Linked DNA regions of Neurospora crassa OR74A. The protein of the gene in region 4 interacts with the protein of the main gene of each other region in a pairwise test. Links are inferred from orthologs where the notes say so. Each region holds a gene or a part of one and is shown on either strand. Other genes may lie near its edges.

The links.
Region 1: the proteins of NCU03050 (region 4) and NCU02781 interact in binary tests that used the Saccharomyces cerevisiae proteins (3 or more experiments, as listed by UniProt). The link is inferred for Neurospora crassa OR74A from reciprocal best matches to the Saccharomyces cerevisiae genes ARC35 and ARC40.
Region 2: the proteins of NCU03050 (region 4) and NCU09572 interact in binary tests that used the Saccharomyces cerevisiae proteins (3 or more experiments, as listed by UniProt). The link is inferred for Neurospora crassa OR74A from reciprocal best matches to the Saccharomyces cerevisiae genes ARC35 and ARC18.
Region 3: the proteins of NCU03050 (region 4) and arp2 interact in binary tests that used the Saccharomyces cerevisiae proteins (3 or more experiments, as listed by UniProt). The link is inferred for Neurospora crassa OR74A from reciprocal best matches to the Saccharomyces cerevisiae genes ARC35 and ARP2.

Annotation. Positions count from the first base shown.
Region 1 is NC_026501.1:9,214,799-9,220,157, forward strand, and holds NCU02781 (hypothetical protein), read right to left. Parts: upstream 3,511-5,359; 5' UTR 3,287-3,510; coding exon 3,064-3,286; intron 2,981-3,063; coding exon 2,138-2,980; intron 2,071-2,137; coding exon 2,030-2,070; 3' UTR 1,739-2,029; downstream 1-1,738. Other genes in the region: NCU02782 (hypothetical protein), read right to left, coding at 1-1,294; NCU02780 (U2 small nuclear ribonucleoprotein B), read left to right, coding at 4,079-4,363, 4,428-4,739; NCU02779 (hypothetical protein), read right to left, coding at 4,918-5,097, 5,359-5,359. UniProt on the Saccharomyces cerevisiae protein: Functions as a component of the Arp2/3 complex which is involved in regulation of actin polymerization and together with an activating nucleation-promoting factor (NPF) mediates the formation of branched actin networks.
Region 2 is NC_026507.1:961,946-967,271, reverse strand, and holds NCU09572 (ARP2/3 complex 21 kDa subunit), read right to left. Parts: upstream 2,759-5,326; 5' UTR 2,505-2,758; coding exon 2,499-2,504; intron 2,258-2,498; coding exon 1,865-2,257; intron 1,740-1,864; coding exon 1,560-1,739; 3' UTR 1,225-1,559; downstream 1-1,224. Other genes in the region: NCU09571 (tRNA (adenine-N(1)-)-methyltransferase non-catalytic subunit trm6), read left to right, coding at 1-959; NCU09573 (hypothetical protein), read left to right, coding at 4,365-4,378, 4,578-5,326. UniProt on the Saccharomyces cerevisiae protein: Functions as a component of the Arp2/3 complex which is involved in regulation of actin polymerization and together with an activating nucleation-promoting factor (NPF) mediates the formation of branched actin networks.
Region 3 is NC_026505.1:6,356,591-6,362,119, forward strand, and holds arp2 (actin-6), read right to left. Parts: upstream 3,578-5,529; 5' UTR 3,375-3,577; coding exon 3,350-3,374; intron 3,126-3,349; coding exon 2,694-3,125; intron 2,632-2,693; coding exon 1,901-2,631; 3' UTR 1,518-1,900; downstream 1-1,517. Other genes in the region: stk-8 (serine/threonine-protein kinase prk1), read right to left, coding at 1-825, 899-956; NCU07170 (hydantoin racemase), read left to right, coding at 4,377-4,487, 4,552-5,232. UniProt on the Saccharomyces cerevisiae protein: Functions as ATP-binding component of the Arp2/3 complex which is involved in regulation of actin polymerization and together with an activating nucleation-promoting factor (NPF) mediates the formation of branched actin networks.
Region 4 is NC_026501.1:8,291,332-8,297,270, reverse strand, and holds NCU03050 (ARP2/3 complex 34 kDa subunit), read right to left. Parts: upstream 4,112-5,939; 5' UTR 3,870-4,111; coding exon 3,805-3,869; intron 3,708-3,804; coding exon 3,043-3,707; intron 2,992-3,042; coding exon 2,891-2,991; intron 2,835-2,890; coding exon 2,706-2,834; 3' UTR 2,703-2,705; exon of another isoform or gene 2,572-2,702; intron 2,487-2,571; exon of another isoform or gene 2,450-2,486; 3' UTR 2,421-2,449; downstream 1-2,420. Other genes in the region: NCU03049 (flavin-binding monooxygenase), read left to right, coding at 180-322, 410-478, 564-583, 667-862, 936-1,097, 1,165-1,352, 1,528-2,420.

The DNA.
Region 1 (5,359 bases), about 920 kb from region 4:
TCTGAGCCAAAACGGCGGATGGTGGAGGTGAGAGGCTTGGTTCTTGCTTTATTTCTGTGTCTGTTTTTGTTTCTGCTGGACATGGACCTGGACGAAGGATGTATCCTGAATGGGAGGAGGAGGTCTTGAATCTCTTTGGGGAGCGAGAATGGGGAGAGATGGGGGCGTCGGAAACTTTTTCGTCTTCGGTTTCGTCGTTTCGGTCTCTGTTGCTGCTTCGATTCTGAATTCCAGGAGGAGTCCGTCGAAGATGAACATCACCATGTTGTTCTTCCATGGTTTCCCAGGCACGTACCCTCCTTGCCTTAGCCTTAGCCCTCGAAGCAGAAGACGGTCCATCCCACCTGATGGGTTTGAACAGGCCCATCTTTGGCGTTATTGTTGGTTCCATTCCCATTCCCATCGCCGTACCCATCATCCCTGCCACCATTTCCACACCGGCATTGGCACCAACGCTAGACACCACCGACGGCACCATCATAACCCTCTCCATTACCACCCCTTCCCCCCTTTCCTCCCAAGTCTTACTACCACTGACCCCACTCTCCTCCGTCCCTAGGGGCACGTATCCCACCACACCTCCCACCACACCTCCCACCGCATCTTCTTCCACCTGCTTCATCTGTTCTCCCTGTTCTCCCTGTGGCACCCGCGGCACCCACCTCTTCACCCTCTGCTCTAACGGTATCGACACCCAAGGAACCGACTCCTCCTCCTCCTCCTCCCGCTTAATCACCACCACTGTCTCCTCACCGGAACTGAACCCGCTCATCCTCCTCCTACCACTTCTTCCTCCTTCCCTACTGAGGGGCAGTGACAGTGGAGAAGGTACCGATTTACTTGGTCCCGGCCCCATGGTCATCATCGTTGATTGCCGCTGGCGTCGATGCTCCTCGAAACCTGGTGCTGGTCGTGGTAGACTTGGTTCCAGTACCCCAGGTAAGTAATTCGAAAATGATTGCTCAACAGACCTAGACCCCACTGTCCGAGGTGGATAGGCGAGTACTGGCTCGTTGGAGAATAAAGATCGAGAAGAGCGGGAAGGATGCCGATGATGATGATGATGAAGGATGCTAGCGGCGGTGGTGGTGTTGACAGAGGAGTTGGCGTTGTAAATAAAGTCGCTTGGTGATGCGGGAGCGTAGTGGTGGTAGTCTTTTTGTTCCTCTGGTTCTGGATGACCAGGAGGAGGAGGAGGAGGAGGAGGAACATGAACAGGAGATACGGGGTTAAAGTACAGAGGGTGTTGGGGGTGGTTGAATGGGTAGTAGTCGTAGGAACTGTTGTGGTCCATGGTTCAGTTTGTTGTTGTTTGGTTCTTCTGATCCCGCTGTTTCTTCTTCTAACCAGACAACGAAGTAGGCAGGCAGGGAAGATGGAGGCAAAGCGAGGTAAGTTGAGTTTGTTTGGATAGCTGAAAGGGACGGAGTGACGGACGGCTGATTACTTATGGTAAACTGCTTTTGAAGCTGAAGGTCTGGATGAGGAGCGAAAGGATATGGAATAAATAATCGACAGGGACAAAACAATGGTAGGTATGGACATGAATTGTGACATGCACTTCTCCTGCTGCCGGTTATTAGTTCTCTTATGATCCTTTTATGGAAGTTATCACGGCAAATCGGAATGTGTCCGGCAAGCCACAAGCGGAAGTCAATGAATTGCTTTGTATGTATTGAACCTGTATTTGTTCTTGACTGTGTGTCTGATTCACACATACATATCTTGCAAAATTGGCCGGGCGGTCATGACAAACGGATAGCTCACTGTGGAGAAGTGACATGATAAGTCTCTGTACAATGGGTGAATGGACAATCAATCACTTTGGCGGATACCGGGAAGCACGGATAGGGCAGAAATCAAAGACCGGGAAAGTTACCCGCTAAACTGACATTGATGGATCTTGACTTTGAATCTGATTCATTATCAGCCATTCACTCTTGTTCCATTAACATTAGATGTTACGCTTGCTTGCTTGGCTTTTCTGCTTCCCAATGTGTGCAGCAACCCTCTTTCATCGAGGGGAAATCTAGGTGTGCCAGATGACGACTCTGCCGTCAACACCGCTCGCTGTTGTGTCAAGTTAGCATCAATAATTCTTGAAACCACAGGTCATGTAAAAATGGGGAACACTCACAACTAAACTTGGTCACCCGTCCACCACTCTCCTCAAAGGGCCTCAACATAGTAACCGTATTCTGATGCACCGTCTTCAACATGGTATCATCCTTGCTGACCTTACCCTTCAGGTCCATCTGCTTGAACATGTTCAGCGCAGACTCCTCTCTGTCCTCGTCACCAAGACCCGGTCTTCCTCCGGCCTTGGCCTTCTCCAGCGTGCCGGCCAGCTGCCACCCCTGCTCGCCGCCTTGGAAGCGGAAAGCCTCGCAATCGTAACCCGCAGCAATGATCTCAGTCTCTCCGTTCCAGAAGAGGCTCATAAAGGGCAAAAGCTGCGTGTTGATGCTGATCACCGCCTTGGGCGGCTGCTCGGGCGCAGAGGGGTAGACGACGGTGATGGAGGAGTCATGCGCCGCAAACGCCAGAGCGTCGCCGCTCGGGCTGAAGGCAACAGAATGCACCCATCCGGCAGAGTTGTTCAGGAACTCGCCGCAGACCGTGTTGAAAGGCAATCTCTCGCCCCAGGGGCTCGGCTCGGGGCGCTGGTCGGTGCCCTTGATGAAGGCGGAAAAGACGCGGGCGTGGGCGTCGGTGGAGCCGGCAGCAAGAAGAACGCTGTTGGGGTGCCAGGCGACAGAGGTGATGGTGGATCGGATCGGCTTCTTCAGGTGCTTGGATACCCACCAGTCGTTTTCCTCCTCAAAGTAGCAGATGGCGATGACGCGGTCGCCGGAGCCGACGGCGAACTTGGCTTCCGAGGGAGACCAGCGGACGAAGGTGGCGGCGCGGGAAATACGGAGGAGCACGAGGGTGGGCTTGTAGCCGGTGGGGGAGGGTTCCCAGACGAGGGCGTTGCGGTCTGTGAGTTGGGGTTGGTTGTTAGTCTAGCTGACTGTGATGGTGGCATTATGGGGTGCCTGGGTTGCGAAAGGGGGGGCCTACCCTGAGAGCAGGTCACAATACGCCCGGTGTTGGGAGCAATGTCGACGCTGGTGACAAGCTTGTCATGGCCCTTGAGCTCATCCTTGAGCTTGAAGGCATTGCCGACTCTGCCGTAGAGCTCGACCTGGGTGTCGCGGGCAATGGCCAAGGTCTGGCGATCGGCCGAGAAGGAGTGGTCGGCGATGGGGTGGTGGAAGAGATGGTGGACCTCGGGAGCAGCCATTGTGGGTTGTTAGGTTGGTGTTGTGTAGAAATAAGGTATGCGATAGGAGTATAGCTCTCTACTACCGCGCTCGGAATCGGGGACGGTGATGACGGAGAGTGTGATCGAATGTCTTGGTTCGGTGGTGTCGGAGCCGGATGTTGTAATTGGAAAGGGGAAGCTGTGCCCGGGAACGGGAAGCGGGAGAGCTCCGTAACTACAGCGGGCTGGACGCCTGAAATGAGGTCAGACCGCCAGGCTCCAGGGGCACCGTTGCGGCAGCGTATGGTGGTGGGGTTGGCTGCGGGTGGGTGACGCCGCCAAGAGTGCCCTGCTGCCGGCCGGGGCTGACCCACCTGGAACTGGAACCTACTATGGTGAGATGGGTAAGTTAAACCCGTGGATCAGGTCGTCGACCACACAGTGCTCACGAAGCTCTGGCTGTGGTGGTCCGTGCAAGATACCTGACAAGGGGGTTTTACTTTTGCTCGCAACCGCAGTACCTCCAACAAGCTGCACCCACGCCCGTGGGGTTTGTGTACCGATTTCGATGGTTCGTAGGCTGGCTGGCCACTGTCTCCAATTTTTGGACCAGCATCTGAATTGTCGACATCGCATGCGCCGCCGCGACTTGAATTCATGATTGAACACTGAACATCATACACCCGAGCGACGACGACGACGACGACGAGACAATTGACGATATTAACCCCTACCACGAGGCGCCTACGATATACTGAAAATCTACGCGACAATTAACAACCTGCATTGGACAAACAACAACAGCATCAACTCCCGGATTCCTACGCGGCAATGGCTACGCGTATTGCTCCCCCCGCGGGCCTCCCCCAAAAGGTGGTCTCGAACCCGCCAAACCAGACTCTCTACGTCACGAACCTCCCCTCAGCTAAGATCCAGAAGGACGACCTCCGTACAGCACTATACATGCTCTTCTCCACCTACGGCCCCGTCCTCGATGTCGTCGCTCTCAAGACCATGAAGATGCGCGGGCAAGCACACATTGTCTACCGGGACATTCAGACAGCAACACAGGCCATGAGGTCACTTGACGGCATGGAGTTTTTGGGCCGCAAAATGGTAGGTCTTCTCGGGTTGAATATTTCAGCGGTAGCCCTTCACATGCTAACTTGGGTTTGCCTAGAAAATCACCTACGCCAAGGGCCGCTCCAACATCATCGCCAAACTCGACGGTACTCTCGTGCCACCCAAGGCCGCCGCCGCCGTGGCCCTCACCACCGTCCAACAGAGTATCTTTAGTGCCCCAGTACCAGGCGCCCCTACTACGAATACCGAGAGTCCAGCACCACAAGGTTCGCCAGCCAAGCCTCCCGGGACGGAGACAACCACACCGGCAGAGGAGAACCGGGGAACGAAGCGGCCACGGGAGGAGGAGGAAGAAGAGGAGGAGAGCGATTCGGACGTTGCTATGGAGGAAGACAGCGACGAGGACTGATGGGTGTCCACTATGGCATTTGCTTCTTGTTTAAGATACCAGCTCGCGGTGGGGAAGGATGACGAAAAATGAAGGCGCAATGAAGCGGATGGATGAAAAATTCGCCCTCTCGAAGGACAATGCAGAAGACGCACCGCTAGCTGCATGTACAACATACACCGCGCTACTCCCACTTCCTCTAGGCGGAGGAAGGCTCCAAGGCCATTTCCTTGGGGACCCAAAGGCTGACACAGCCGCCGACGAGTCCAAGCCAAACCATCAGGTAGTTCTCGATCGAGACATTGTCAAAGGTCGACATGGCCTCGCCGAGGAGACAAGGGTGGACGAAGAAGGTGGGAAGGCCTGTGATGGGATGATACTGTTTGTATGGCCGAAATAATTCAAAAGAAGGGACATTCGTGTGTTAGTATAGGCACCTTTTTTTTTTCTCTTTCTCTCTCTTTTTGTCCTTCTCATATCTTTATGTTTCACAACAAAGTCACAAAGAGCGAGAAAAAGGAGTTCAGCCCTAGTTAACTTTTTGGTGTTTCAACAGCGAGAAGATTGAACCCACCCAAATCGCAAGACACAAATACAAAGAACGAGATGAGATGAGAAGAGAAGAGAAGAGAAAACTTACA
Region 2 (5,326 bases), on a different chromosome or scaffold from region 4:
AGGAAGCCACAGAAAAGGCCGAGGAAGAGACGGAACCAAAACAGGAATCTGACACGACCAGCCAAAAAGACACGGAAATGATTGACGGACAACAGCAAGCAGCAACATCAGAGACAACAACTCTTCCCCGACACCCCAAGCGCCCGCGTGACAACAAGCCGCGCGACTCCGATTTCGCCGTTCCCTTTTCGCAAACCAACACCATCACCGTCCTTCACGGCGCCAGCCAACCGAACCTTTCATTCCTCAACTACTGGAACTTCGATGTCACCGCCCCACAACACCCGCCGCACCCGCTACTGAACCACCTTCTCACGCTCAGCTGGCTGCAGCTCCTCAAGCCCGAACTCGACACCTCGTACTCGACCCCTCCCCTCACTGCCGATCCCGAGACCTTGAGCACCTGGAAGCCCAGCCGCCGCGGCAACTTCCACCGCAAGCGCAGACGCTACGCCCGCGTTCGCCACATTGTCGACAGCACGCGCGCCGGCAACTTCTCCGGCCTCGTCTGCGCCAGCACCATGGACCCGATCTCGATCCTCAAGCACGCCCTTCCCCTCTTGGCCGGCGGCGCCCCCGTGGCCATCTACTCCCCTTCTCTCGAGCCTCTCGCGACACTAGCCGATTGCTTCAGCGTTGCCAGGAGGACGGCGTGGAACAGCGGACACGTGGCGGAGATCCAGGGCAAGACGGCCGAAGAGCTGGAAAAGTGGGAGGGAAGCGAGCAGTTCCCTCTCAACCCCACGCTGTTACTGGGCACAAGCATCCAGACTAGCAGGGCGAGGAGGTGGCAGGTGTTGCCGGGCAGGACGCATCCGTTGATGACGGAGCGCGGTGGTGCGGATGGATATATCTTTACTGGATGGAGAGCGAAGCCAGCGGAGGGCAAGATTGCGGCCAAGGGCAAATTTAAGAGGAGAAAGGTGGAGGAGAGCGTTTCGACGCCGGCTTCGGCATGAGTGGATTGGTCGGAAAGAGTTATTTATGGGAGTTCAAGGATGCCACTTCTCTCCCCGTGCATCGGAAGATCTCACACAGAGGTTTCCACGGAAGCAATGAGGTCGAGGGAAAGTCAGAAAGGAAAAGACAGTTAGAGCGTTTCGAGGCTCGCTTACAGTAGGTGGACTCGACCAGCCGAGGAGGAGTGGAGGCGACCATGGGTTTAAATGATTATGCTTTGTCCATGAAAGGCGGGCAAACAATGAGCAGGAGTCTGATAGTGGTAGCAGTTAGGAGAACCAGCATGACCGATATGCATAGATCTCGTTTGCTCTTAGATACCATTTGCACGAAATAGAGCTGCAGTAATTCTACTAATCGAACGTCAACTGGAGATATAACCCATGTCGCTCATGATCGGGTTTCAAGTGTATGTGTACTCGATCTATGCCTGATCGAACCGGACCACGCAAAAACAACAACAACTGAAAGTCTTGCTCGCTCGCCCCAACACACCCTCACACTCTAGGAAACTTGAAATATTATTTGTGTAGAGTACGTATTATACTTTGGCGCTAAACGATTCCATGCAACGCCATCTGAACAGGGAAGGCATCGCATCAGAGTCCCTTGCCCATGAACTTCCTCTTGGTAAAGCTCAACCACCACTTGCTCGGCTTGTCCTCGGTCTCGTCGTCGTACACGCGCGCCAATAACCTCTGCGCCAGTTCCTGCCGGACCTGCGACAGGTACTGACGGAGGACTTCTGCGTCTTGACGGTCGCGGGGGGGTTCATACATCTGTTTTGCGTCAAACTTATTAGCTGCCATCCATTTTCTTGTTCACCGCCGCGGGCCACATCTACTCCCATCACATTCACCGTATTCTATCTCCGCCCTAAATCCTTTACGCCAAAAAAACTCACCTGATTCAAAGGCCACCCAGGATCGCCCGGCAACGCAAAGTTCACATCCAGCGCCGCATTGTTCACTTCCTTCGTCGCCTCCCTAACGCCATAGTGCGGCTTGATGCGGCCCAGACAGTCGCTGATGTACCAGATGCCGTAGACCAGCAGGCGGTCGGCGGGGCCCTGGATCTCAAAGTTGCGGAAAAAGGTGTTGGCGCGGAAGAGAGCTAGCGTCTCGTCCAGAATGTCGTATGACTCCGAGTCCGGGTCGGGCGACTCGTTGGCGGCGAGCGGAGGGTCCGGGAAGGGGAGAGGGTAGATCGGCCCGCGGATCTTGGTGCGAAGCGGGAAGAGAGGGAAGTTGCCGATTAGGCGGGGGGAGGGGTCGGCGTTGAAGACGGAGTTGTAGGCCTAGAGAGTGGCGTCGTTAGTTGAGAGATTGAGAATGGGAATTTGTGTGTGAGGTGAGGCGAGAGGCGAAGAAATGCGATTGGGCGCAAAGCGGTTCGTGGTGTTGTGGGTGGTGGTGATGCGATCATGGACGAAGCTTTGTCTGACGATTAAGGGGTAGCTGGCTGGCTGGCTGGTATAGCTTGGGGAAGCTATACGCATAGCGGCTGGGTGTTGGGAGCTTGCGAATGGGTGCGCTTACCGGCATTGTGACGGTTGGTGTCAAGCTCCCTCTATGAAGCTATTACCAGATTAAGCAAATGGTGTTCAAGTTGGAAGTTAGGTAAATCTGGGATGTCGTGTTGACTTGACCGCGTCCGGGTTCTATGGCGCAGCCTTGCGGGGTGATGGGGTCAATTGGACTTGGGCTGGCCTTCCTGGACCTGCAGCGTGCCAGCGATGGGCGATGGCGGCTTCTCCTGCGCTGACGTCGAGCTGGCGGTGACGACCGCTGCTTGCACCGTGCCGCTGTGACGGACTCTGTGACAGTAGAGCTGGACTTGGTCTGTGCGTTACCTTTCTATTTGAATTTGTGGCTCAGCAGTGGCTGTGTCCGGACTCCGGATGAGGCCTGGTACAGTCAATGAAGCACTCCCGGTTCCCATCACGTGTAGAGTTACCGGAGCCGGCCTCGTCATCGGACAGGCAGCAGCTCGCTTGACTCCGATAAAGTGGATCTTTGCGGCCTGAAGTGGAGCCACCTAGTCCCGGGGGAATCGGAAGGTCTTGCACAATGCATCATCTGAAGGAGGAGAGCGAATGTGAACAAGTCAAAATGCCACTCCATTGGTATACAGAGGAAGATTCAGTTACACAAAGACTCTTCACGTGTCATGTAGTCAGCCACCGCGTTCGACGTGAGCGCCCGCTTTCCATGCAACTTAAGCTGCTGTGTCTCGGAATCCAGACAAAGAGCAGGACTCCATGCTCAAGATGGTGTTCCAAGGATCCATCCCATCATTACTCATTATGGCGGAATTTTTCAAGGAAGAAGATTGACCGAGGTTCACGCCGTGGTCGAGTCCAACAACCTGGAAGAGAGCCAACACCTGAATGTTGGTTGGATAGGACGAAGTTCAACACCGTGAACGCCGCGCTGCGCCCACCGCTGCCTGTTTGAACAACAGGGGGGCCCGTCGTCAAGGAGAGAGGAGAAGACTCAGAAAGCAGAAACATTGAAGAAACAAGAGGGGATGCCAAGACAATAAGTCACGGGAGCTCGTGTGCTAGCGCGTCGTAGATGATGAAATCAGCCAGCAGTCCAGACTTGGCTGGCTGTTGTTGGCGCAATTGTTCATCCGACGCAAATCCGGCCGGGGACTGCCACACACCCGACAGGCACACCACCAGTCGAGAGCGCTACTACGCTGCTTAGAGGTACTGTGATAGTAGTGTACGCACCAACGCGGAATCAAAAGCGCCGTCGTGCGCCGTCCACTGAGAAAGGGTGATGGAGGGGTATTTGGGGTTCTCCAGTCCCATCACATCACTCACTGCGTCACGGTTCTCTCCTCTACCTACAACTGCCTTCTTCAATCGTTCATTAAAACCAGCCCTCCGCTTCTTCACGCCCAAAGACAAACACAAGAACCCGGACAAACCCCTCCCACTTTTTTGAACTAGGAGGCAAACTTTGATCCTAGTGCTTTTTCCCCCCTCTTTACGGTGACTCAGTCGTTACCAGCGCGACTTGTTTTGGATCGCTTTTCTCCATTCCTCAAACCAAAACAAAACATCATTCCAAGCACCATTCGTTTTCAGGTGAGTTGCTTGCATGTTTTACCGGCGCTGCGAATTTGGTGTGATTTCACCTGTGTTTTGTGCGTGGGGCTGACTTGGATCAACAGAAAAAGGGGACCCCAGAAAAAGGGAACGTGCACTGCAGTGGACGCGCGCATCACTCCCTCCACAAAACGCTCTGCCGATCCGCCCTAGCAGAGCTGTCGCATCCACTCACTGCACTGCGCTCCGCCCATTGAATAGGTCAACAAAAGAAGACGACCTACCTACCTACGGACCAGGAACACTCTCCCCCCTTCGAGATAGTTCCCGTCCACTTGCTTCTTTCATGACCGCATTTGAGTACGTCCAGTCCCGCTTCATTTTGCGACTTCGCTCTTTTTTCTTCTTTCATCATATCATCGCGGCAACACTTCTTATTTCTCAAGACGACCATTCGTTCTGGCAATAGCTGCATCGCGCCAACGTTACATCCACATTACAACAACCTGGAACTACATAGCTGACGCGCGCCTCCAATCCCGGCTTCTTTTGTCTTCAGGTCCCTCATTTCTGGCAGTGGCACCTTGTTTGGACAACTGCGCGCCATGATAGAGGTAGCCATGTCAGCCTCACGCGACATAGCCGGCCCATCGCCGGGCCCTACACAACAACCCCCGGCCTCAGCCTCCGAAATTCACAGCCCCGCCTTCAGCAGCCAAAGTACCGATGCATCGACGTCATCGCCGCCGCGCCGGAAACGGACCAACCCAAAGAAACGAAAGGTTCCCCGGGTATACCGCCCCGATGAAGGCTCTATATACGACATAATGCACGACAATTCTGGCAAATCGCTTTACGTTCTTCCCATTTGCTGGACAGATCTCCATGCCACGCTCCTTGGCGCATCGTTCACCGAAGGTGCCCCTATTGTCACGCCGGTACCGGAATCTATTCATGGGCAATGGCTCGATCCTTCGCTCCTTGCGCGCCAGCTCACCGACCAACTTCACACCCTTATCAGGAACGAACCGTCCATGACACGAGTATTTTGCAAAAACATGGCCATGAAGAACGCAATGGGCATCTTTTTCCCGGATAGGCTAGCAAACCCCAAGATGAACGCCGAGCTTGACATTTACTTTGGCCAGCGCGTCTTCCGGAAGGCGGTGCGCATCCCGTGCCTGTGGAAGACACCCATCGGCAGTTCATTCGCAACAATACCCACGGTCCCAAACGACTCCTTTTACGTACCCAACAGCCCGCAGGAGCCGCAGCCTGAAATACCCCAGCAGACACCCAACATGCCGA
Region 3 (5,529 bases), on a different chromosome or scaffold from region 4:
GCATGCTGGCTAACAAGGGCCACCGCTCCCTCGTCGGCAGGCCCATTACGTCCACAATCTTCTGCATCTGATGTTTCTGAAACGGCACCGTCTTCTTGCTATCCATCTTGGCCTCCTCCCCCTTAAAGATGGGCCGAAGACTCAGCAGCTCCGCAAAGATGCATCCCACCGCCCACAGGTCGATAGCTGTCGTGTAATGCTTGCTCCCCAACAGCAGCTCGGGCGCGCGATACCATATAGTCACGACCACTTTATCGCCCATGTAGAGGTTGTGGATGGGCTGCTTGAAAACCCTGGCCAGTCCGAGATCGCCAATCTTCACTTCTCCGGAAGAAGTAACCATGATGTTCGCCGGCTTCAAGTCTCGATGTAATACCCAGTTGGTGTGTAAGTATTGCACCCCCTGCAACAGCTGGTACATTATCGACTTGATGGTCCCTGGCGCGATCGGATGTCGTGGCGTTTGCGTGTGATGGTGGATGATCTGCAACAAATCGTGCTCTGCGTACTCGAATACCATGAAGATGCACTTGTCCTCCAGGATAATCTCGATGAGCCGGATAACGTTGGCGTGGTTTCGCAGTTCGGAGCATAACGCCATCTCACGCACCGCCGACTGAGAGATGCCCGTGTAGTTGACGACGGCTTCACCTTCCTTGTCGGGCTTGAACTTTTTGATGGCGAATTCCCCGGTTTGGCCTTGTCGGCCGGTGGCTTTGTAGACCCGGCCATAGGTACCGGAGGAGATGAAGCCGATGACTTTGTAGCGGTCGGTAATGCGGACCTTGGTTTGGTAGTTTAGGGGGCCGGCATTGCTACGCTGGTCTGAGACTGAGGGCGGTTAGTGTCGGACTGGACTAGGATATGAGAGATGAATGGGGGGAAAGGCGATACTGACACCCGCGGTAGCTGGTTTCGGCCTTTTGGTTTCTCGCTCTATTTGTGCCGTACATCATGGGGGGTGATTGTATGTTTATAAGAGTGAGGTTGGTGTATGCAAGGTAGTGACTTGGTAGTGAGAGGCTGGGCAGTCACCGCCCGTCTGTTTTGTGTTTGAAGATGCTCTCGGGAATTTGGAGAAAATAAACTATATAACCGGGCACAAGATACACACTGAAGGGATCATGCTGGGAGGGCTGGATGATGTTTTGAATGAAGGAATTGGATCAAGTTCATCGACTCACATTTCGGTTTCGGAGGCATGTCATCTGAGCCGTACCCGATCTGCACGGGCCCGGGGGGAAAACCACTGTGAGACTCGGGAATGGATGAGCGGAGACGGTGTGTTAGCGTGGCCGGTAGCTGGGCGATGGAAGCCGGGCTTGAGAGTTTGGAGAAATCGAGTAAAGATGGCCGGTGAGGATCTGGGAACACGACAGGTCTGGGGATTTTGACGACGAGCTGGATTGATATTGTTGTCGCAAAGGCAAGAACAAAGTGACACACGAAGGAAAACAATAACATCAATTACCCTTTTCGTCACCAGCGACATGTCAGGCTAGCAGAGATCTGATGATGTTTGCTTCTGTTAGTGTGTCAGCTCTGATAAGCCACTGTATCGCCGCCAGCCTTAGCGTACCGTATCGATGTCCAACAAGTGGGGGTGGACCATTTCACCTTTCCGTCTTCCCGATGTTTGTCCGGGACCGTCCCGTTCCGCTGTCCGCATCTTGCTTGATGTTGGCGCCGTTGTGATATTGGGGACTTCTTTCATGGTATCCCAAAAGACCATGACTCTTGACACAAGGCCATTGTTCGATTTCTCCTGTCGGGACCAACAAAATTACACCAGCCCAAGCAAGCTCTAACAAACTCTCGCATTATCCTTTATTTACCTACCAACGGAAAACATTATATCGCCTGCTATTGTAGTCTAAACAGCTTCACCCTCGGTAGTCCCTTACCTAGGACCCAACTTCTCCAACACCCTCGCGCCCTGTTCTTCCCACTCCTGCTTCGTAATCCACATGCTCTCCTTATCCGCCATGATATTCGCCAGCACCGCACCACCCAAGAAGACCATATGCCTTCTTCTCGGCGGGTCCTCGATCCTGACCTTGAACTTGCTCAGCCTCTCGGGGTTGCCTCCCAGCACGCGCGTCAACCACAGCTGCTTCAGTTCCTTCTCCAGTCTGCTTGGAAGGCCGGGGTACATGCTGGAACCACCCGACAGGACGATCGCCTTGAATAGCGAGGAGCGCACGTCAACATCGGCGGCCTGGATGGTGTTGAAGAGGAATTCGGCGATACCCGGCTGGTCGCAATCCACCAAGTGCGGCTGGAACAAGCACTCGGGGGCCTCGAACCGCTCGGAGCCGACGCGGATGACGCGGCCGTCGGGAAGGGTGTAGCTCTCGACGAGGACGGTGGTATCTTCGGACAGGCGCTTGTCGAGCTCGAGGTCGTACGAGACGTAGCAGAGCTTTTCCTTGATCTGGCGGACGGTCTCGAAGTCGGCAGTACGGTTGAGGGCGTAGCCGCGGCGGAGAAGGAGGGCGATCAGGTTGCGGGTGACGTCGCGGCCGGCCACATCGAGGCGGCGGGTAAGGTGGTTGAGGACCACGGATTCGTAGACAGGAACGATATGCGTGACACCGTCGCCCGAGTCGACTACGACACCAGAGGAGAGACCTGCGCGTTGTCTGTCAGCTACTTGTTTCCTCAAGTCGCCGTGTAAAGGAGCGGTGACATACCCTGAGCATACAATGCCAGCACCGCCTGGATAGCGACATAGACACCCCCAAAGTCGTAGCGCTCAAACATGACTTCGGTCATCTGCTCCCTGTTCTTCAACGGGTTCAAAGGCGGCTCCGTCAACAAGATCTTTCTTCCCCGCGTATCGACCTTCATCTTCTCGTGAAAAGTGTAGTCCCATAGGTGCTGCATGTCGTCCCACTTCTTGACGATGCCGTTCTCCATCGGGTAGCTGATTTGGAGCATGGTACGGGCGGCCGCGGCCTCGTCACCGCACATGATGTCTTTGATCACAATGTCGGAGGAGTCGGAAAGCGATTTGGCTTCTTCGGCGCGGAGAATGGGGCGGCCGACTATCGAGGGGTATTGGAATTCGGGGAAATTCTGGGCGGCGTAGCCGACCTTGAGGAAGCCGGTACCGCCATCGAGGACTGTGTTCGAGGGGGGAAGTGTTAGCTGGGCGCTGTGCTCATTTTGTTGTTGTGAAGTGGAAGTGATTGAGGACGGAGTCCGACGGCTACAGCTGCCATGGCGACGGTGATGACGCGGTCAGGCAGATGGGTGGGTGGTGGTGGTGTTGGTGGTCGTCAAGGTAGCTTGAGCTCGAGACACCAGATGGATAAGGGGTTGTTGGCGGAGAGAAGAGCTGACGTACCAATGGGAGCGTCGGTGTTGGCCATGCTGGGCGGCTGTTTGGTTTGGTAACTTTCAATGGAGTTGCGAATAGCTTCGTCGGGGTTTCGAATATCGAGTGTATATCGGAGCTAGAATGGAAAGCTCCCGCGGGTGAATCAACAGGAACCAAGTGTCGGTGGTCCCGTCGGTCGGTCGGTGCAGTGGTGTCGGTGCCCTGTCCGGGTTACGGTAGCGAAGTGGACTACGGCACCGTAATTAGCTGGAGTCCAGCGCGGTAGCCTAGCTGGGGGGGTAGCATCGATATGTGGGGTCATTCGCTAACTGCCAAGCTTTCCTTCAAACAGGGCGCCGCTCGTCTGAGCCAAAATAAAGGAGACGAGCGAGCAGGCTAGGTAAACCAGTTCACTAGACGTCAAGATCATAGAAAAGACCGCTGCAAGACCGTGACAGGGAATATAACAATTCAAAAAGACCTCAGCTAGAGCCCTATTTACACATTTTCATTCTGTAATTGCCTAGAACTTGAGAGTCAGCAGTATACCCAAGGAGCCAAGGTATCATGTCAAAGGTCTCGATTATTTTGACCAGGACGAGCGCCGATGACAAGCGGGTCTTGGCAGGATTCTGGACCCCAAGGAAGTGGCAGGCATTAGGGTACCCACGTGATACCCCGCATGAGACTCGCACTTGTACCTTCAGTAGTACATGCACCTTGTTGGGCATCGTGAGAGATCAGACGGGATGGATTGTGCATTTGAGAGTGGAGATTGATATTGGTTCTTCCCGTCCCTTCTTTTTTTGATTCTTCATTTGTGGTTATCAGACCCTTTGTTGCCTTATTCTTTCTCACTCAGGCCGTCGATACAATCGGTATTTTACCAACTCATTACGATACTAGTAGGTTGTTCCCATTCAGGTTCTACCATCGTCAATCTTTCAAACTGAGTACTTCATGATACCTCCCAAAATGGACTCAGACCTGACTATTTCCCTCTCAGACCATTTATCGATTCACCTCACTCACTCACCCCCCTTCCTTCGTCAACATGACTACCGCCCAGCAAGAACCAATCAGGATCCTGATCCTCAACCCCAACTCCTCCAAGTCCATGACCGATGGCATGGCAAAGTCTATTTCCAGCCTAAACCTCCCCGACGTCTGTCTTCCCTTCTCTCCTCCACCCCTAATAACCGAAAACGTGGACTAACACCCCCCTCCAGAACATCAAAATCACCTACTACACAGCCCCTACCTCTTGTCCAGCCAGCATCAACAACGGCACCGACCTGGATACCTCCGCCACCCACGTCCTCCAAGACCTCAGCAGCAACCTTCAACTCCTCAAAGACCACGACGCCGTCCTAGTATGCTGCTACTCCGTGCACCAACTCGTCCCCGGCCTCTCGGAACTCGCTTCATCCAACGGCTTTCCCCTCTCCGTCACGGGCATCTTTGAAGCATCCGTCCTCACTTGCCTGTCGCTGCTCACGGGCCCGACGAAGAAATGGGGCATTGTCACGACGGGCAAGTACTGGGAGGAGCACCTGACTGTGGGAGTCAAGAAATTCTTGGGTCAAGAGGAGAAAGGGGGAAATAATGCAAAGTTTGCCGGGGTGCAGACGACGGGGTTGGATGCGGGGGATTTCCATGGAGATATTTCCAAGGAGGTGATTGATGCGAAACTGGCCGAGGCGACCAAGAAGTTGTTGCAGGCTGGGGATGTGGAGTGTGTGGTGATGGGATGTGCGGGCATGGCTGGACTGGAGCAAATCATTCGCCGGACTGCGATTGAGCAGTACGGCGAGGAAAGGGGGAAGAAGGTCATGGTTGTTGATGGAGTCAGAGCGGGAGTTGGGCTGGTGGATGAGATGGTGAAAAATAGGAGAATGTTTACCCAGTAGGTAGGGACGGAAAGGGAGTGGAATTAGCTTTGAAGCTGGAGATTTCCTTTCGAGCGATTTGTACGCAAGTTCGTCGCAGTGCCCCCTGCCTTTTTCCAAGCTCTCGGGGCAGAAGTCACATCGTATATCATAGTTTGTTCTCTCAAGGCTTCATTCATGAATGCAATACATACAGTCTAGTACTGGTTGGTCTGTTAGTTCGAGACCTCGTGTCAACTTTCCTATGCGTTTTCATGGCTAACTAATGTACAATCTAACCTTGGGCACGCCATCTCTAACATTCAAAATGCCAAAGCA
Region 4 (5,939 bases):
TAAGTTTCGGCTCATGGTATGTTTGATGAAATGTATATATACAGAGAAAGAGAGAGGTTTGGAGGCAAATACCTTGGCTGCTGGTCTGTCTTCGACTATGAGGTTGACGATCTAATACCTACACCCTTTGACAAAACAAATACGTCGCAACAAGTATACGTCAAGAGATATCAGTGGAGATGGCTACAACTACGAACGGGCACATGGACGGAAGTGACCTCAAGAAAAAGTTTACACTTAAAGACACGGTAGTGGAAAATCTTAGACCGTTGAGGGTAGTTGTCATTGGCGCTGGGTATAGTGGTATCGGGGCAGCGATTAGGTGAGTTGCTTCCCTACCTCCCGCTTTAGGCTGATGAAATAGTTGTACCACCGGTTCAATACTGACAAACATGGGTGTGCTGTGAAGAATACCAGAGAAGCTACGAAATGTCGAGCTAGTGGTCTATGAGAAATACGAAGGCGTCGGAGGGACATGGTAAGTCCACGCTTTTCCTCATGAACTCATTTGGACCGCCAGTCATTCACCAAGCAAAGACACTGATACTGCAAGAAACAAAAAGGTGGGTGAACACATATCCAGGTATGTACGACCTGGTCGTGGTCCCCAAACAGGAGTAGGAAACCAAAGCAGATCAACTAACCGACAGCTAAAACGAACAAAAGGCGTCGCCTGCGACATCCCCTCTCATTCATACCAATTCTCCTTTGCGCCCAACCCGAACTGGTCCAACCTCTATGCGCCAGGCCACGAGATCCAGAAATATCTGCAGGACGTGGCTGAGAAATTCGGAGCGACGAGGTTCATCAAGTTATCACATAAAGTGGAGGAATGTGTCTGGGACGATGGGCAGAAGAAATGGTTCGTTATAAGTTCAGACCAGTTTCACACACGTCAAATAGAACAGACAGGCTAATAGAACGTGAACGGAAAGGCAATTCAAAGTCATGAATCTGGTTACCGGAGAGGTGTTTACCGATTCGGCGAACGTGCTGATTACGGCTCGAGGTCAGCTTAGCGAGCCGCGATGGCCGGATATTCTGGGAATTGACCAGTTTAAGGGGAAGAAGATGCATTCGGGGGCGTGGGATAAGAGGTAAGAGGTTGTCTGACTGGCCTTTCAGAGGCAGTCCTGAAAAGGTGTCGTGCTAACTGACCTACAGTTATGACCTCCGCAACAAGAAGATCGCTGTTGTGGGTAACGGTTCCAGTGCCATCCAGATCGTTCCCAAGCTCCAGAAACTCGAAGGAACGACGCTCTCATGTTTCATACGATCACCGACCTGGATATCGTCAGCTTTTGGTGATAACACCATGAAAGACCTAGGACTGGATCCCAAAGTAACCGAGTGTAAGTTTTCATCTTGTGTAGATCACGGACCTCTCCGTGAACAAAAGAGCCTAACAACCTATACCCAGTCACCGAAGAACAAAAAGCCCTCTTCCGCTCCGACGCCCCGCCCTCCTCAAATTCCGCAAAGCTTTTGAAGACTTTGGCACCTCCCTCCACAACTCCACCATGGCAGGCCACCCGATGACCATCGAGGGACAAGCTTTCTTCAAAGCGGACATGGAATCCAAGCTGTCGGCTCGTCCCGACCTGCTAGCCAAGATCATCCCGGCCTTCGCCCCTGGCTGCCGGCGCCTCACTCCAGGAAGGGGCTACCTTGAAGCCCTCCAACAACCCAACGTGACAGCAATTCACGACCCCATCTCACACATTACCTCCTCCGGCATCGCGCTCGCCACTGTGGAAGGAAAGAAACAGATAATCGACGCCGACGTAATTGTCTTTGCCACCGGCTTCCAAGCCTGCACCTCCCCACCCTTCCCCATCATCGGCCGGCGCGGACTTACCCTCGCCTCCCGCTGGTCCCAACACCCCGATAGCTACCTCGGTCTAGCCGTCGACGGATTCCCCAACTATCTGATGCTGTTCGGCCCAAATACGACCATCGGGTTCGGCAGCCTGAATCGGATCCTGGAGGCGCAGGTAGACTACATCGTCTCGGTAATCCGCAAATTACAAAAGGAGGATTACGCGTCCATGGAGCCCAAGCCGGAACGAGTGCGGGACTTTGTGGCCTTTGTGGATGCCTACTTTAAGGATACGGTGTACCTGGATAAGTGCAAGAGTTGGTATCGGTCGGAGGGTGGGACGGGAAACAGGATCGTGGCGCTGTGGCCCGGGTCGACGCAGCATGCTGTTGAGACGCTGAGGAGCCCGAGGTGGGAGGACTGGATGTATGAGGGTGCTGACAAAAGTGGGAATGGGCTGAGGTGGTTGGGGAATGGATGGAGTTTGACGCAGACAGAGGGCGATCCGAGTTGGTATTTGAATCCGGAGGAAATCGAGTTTCCGTGGGAGGGCAAGCCGGAGGAGAACCCAAAGTATAAGTCGAAGCCATGGTCGCATTGAGGGCGGTGGCGGTTATAGGAAATTTCTAGCTGAAACTAGTTAGCCAAAAGCAATCTTCACGTATCTTGGGCTAGAATGAACTCCGGTGTGCCAGGTATATCGGAAAGCCGCAAGATCAACGTTCACTATGTAAATCGAGTGGAATGATTAGGGTAGTGATTAATATTGTCTGTCTTTGGTGGTAGCTGTAAGTGGTCATCTTCGGCCGCCTTTGCCGATAGACTAACATGACGGGTTTCAAGTAAAGGCAGAGTAACGTGATACACAAACCGCTGCACGAACTCCTTAAGCGCCAGCCTTGAATGTCCTTCCGCTTGCTGTCTTCTTCTCCTTTTCTTCGGTATCGGGCCTGGCTCTCCGGAGAACCTGGAGGAAGTCGGCGGTGCGTTTGCGCATACGCGAGTGGATATACGCCTGGGATGGAATGTCAGATGGAGATCTCTGCGTAGCATGTTTCCCAATGCACCTACCTTGGAGGCCTTGATGTGATAGTGGAAGTAGTCGCGGAAGGTCTGGATATGGGAGATAACATCGGGCATCCGCTGAGGAGTGAGATGGCGAGGGAACAGGACTGCTACCGTTAGTCAATCCCAGATATAGCTTGTTTCACGATGTGGCATACCAAAAGTGACATAACCAATCTCGCCTGTACCAGTATTCTTCACCCCCGGAACATTCTGAAGCTCGAGAGGAGGGTCGTTGCGGAACAGGACCTGGGGGGCGTTCTGGATGGCTCTGCGCCGGGCATCGACGAATTCCTGGATGAAGACCTTGCCGAATACTCTGTCCGTTTCTTCCCTAAAAATGGTACTGAATATGACGGTCACACGATCGTGGCTGGCCTTGACGTAGATAGCCTCCTCTTCTCGGTAGTGAATAGCCTTGACCTCTCCACCCTCACGGACACCCTGTGGCGCCTCCTCGGATGTAAACTTGGACGCTTCCTCCTTTAGGGCGTAGTGTTCCTGGTAGGCCTGCTCGAAGGGCGCGGCCATGGCATTGCGCTTCAACAAGGCAATCTTCATGACAAGGGCATCGCGGGCCTCCTGTTCGGCGGGGAGGTTCTCGAGGTCGACCTGGATGGAAAAGTCATAGCCGGCCTCGGGAGGGACAACGAGATCGGCATATTCGCGGTTGAGGACCTGCTCAGCGCCGTAGCGAACGAGATCCTGGAAGCATCGAATTTGGAGAGAGACGAGAATCTTGGTCTTGGATTCGGGGGTGGAGATGTGGAAGACGACGCCGTCAAAGTCGGAGACAGTCTGGTCGATGTTGACGGGGGAAGCTCTGGAATGCGCGGTGACGGCGGCGGCAGCGTCGTCAGTGCAAGTTCAGGGGCGGACAGGCGCACTGCGCGTTCGGGCTGGAGACGTGGTAAACATACCCAGGAGCGAAACGCTCGGTGAGCACCGCCTGAATCAGGACGTTCTGGTAGTCGAGCAGGAGCATGTTGACTGTGATTCCTCGTATATATCCGGCGCCGTCGAGTTGTTGAAGCCGGGTCGGGTCAGTTGCGTAGTGTGTTCAAGTGTCGGGGGTGGGGCCGTGATAGGTAGGTAGCTACAATCTTAGAGGTATGTAGAGCGGTCACCTCCCTCAGCACGGGCGGGCAGTGTTAGTGTACAGAGCAAGCAGCACCTCCAGCGGCACCTCAGCAGCTGCAGGTGGAATGGGCCAACAAGGCCCTGGAGGGAATGGGGGGTCTGACAAAAGTGGGCGTAGCAGGCCTTTGTAGTATAAAACGCTTGAGCAGGGGTTGTGGGCTGCAACATCCTTATACAGTATTGTTTCTTACTGTAATCTACTAAATAGTTGAATATTATTATATTAAAATTGGTTTTATTTTGCAATGTATAGTTTTAATTAATAGTACAGCGACTATTAACGTAGTATTGGGTACGAAACGGAGTTGACCGTTCAACAGCGTACAAAAGTATAACAACAGCAAATTGTACTACAATAATGCGACCTAAGCCACAAAATGTGCAATATAACATATATACTCGCTTGAATTACTAGTTGCAGGCTAATATTCTTATTAATATAATAATTATTTAATTATATTTATCTATTTAATAATTAGTATATATTCTAATTACTAAAAGTCTTACAATTATTTTACAATAATTTTTAAGTAATATTATATTTATATTAATAGAGGTAAGTAGTAAGGGAGAAAGCGCTATATTAAATTACCTATTTGGGCTACCTAGCGGAGGTTCTTTATAGTTCCTATCATTTCTATCCTTTTTTAATAATTATAAGCCAAAACTCTAACTTATATATATAAGAAAATTGGAGTATAGGTACTATATAGGTAGTTAATAATATTCGCCTACTCTAAGTACGCCTCCTTTATAACTATTTCAATATAATAGTATAAAATATATATTCCTTAATATAAATATAACAATAGGAGAGTATAGCGAAAAGAAAATAAGAAACTCTAGCTCCGGCTTTAAATAAAAACAACGTATAAAATTAATTGTAAATAATAACCCGGGATAATATTATAAAAATGAAAGAAAAAAAATAACTTAAAGAAGATCGAGGGGTACTATAGCCTAATATATATATAATTGTAGGTTTTGCTAATGCTAACTATTAGCGACGAATATCCTCCGGAATTATTCTTCCTTAGAGAGGTGAAATTTATTAAGGTATTCGGTCGGGAATTCGAATTTAGGCGAGGGTATTCTATACTAACCACAACTATCTTTTAGAATTTAATTTCTAGCCTCTTTAATATTCTTCATTAAATCTAAAGAAGTATTAATAGAATATCGATTTAGAATCCATAGTTCGTAGAAGCCATTAAGATTATTTACATCAACCCTACAATAATAGCGCTCTACAAACTCTATTTATATTAAATCGGAAACTTAAATTTCGCCTTCGAATTTAATAAAATTGTATTTATAATTAGTAATTTAATTAACTATTTTATACTCTCCTTTATACTTATAGAAGTTAGGAGGTTCTAGGATCTCTTCTAATTCGTTGGAGGACTAAATAATTGTAAATATAGTAATATTAGGGGGAGGAGGCTTAGAAATCTCTTCTAACTTATTAGGGGACTAAGTAATTACCGGTACCTCCATAAATATAGTAAAATTAAAACTCAAAGCAAAAACCTCCGGCGGAGTAATATAGTCGGGGATAAAGTTTGAGGAACTAGGAATATTACTACCCAGCGGAGCAATATAACTAAGAAGGTTATTTCTACTTACTATAATATTACCGCCTAATAGAATTTCGCTATCGTTATTAATATTATAAAAAGGTTATTTATAATTATTAGCGTTATAAAAATACTATTTATATTCGTTTTCTCTAATTTTAATATAACGTCTCTTTTAATTTCTATATCCACCGTCGTCGGATTCAACATTACTACCTTAAATAGCTTTAATACTAAAAATATATATTTATTCTTTAATTAATATACTATAGTCTAATATATTCTCTAGTAATTATCCGTATATAGGAATAAGTAGAATAATAGTAGAAGGAACTAGG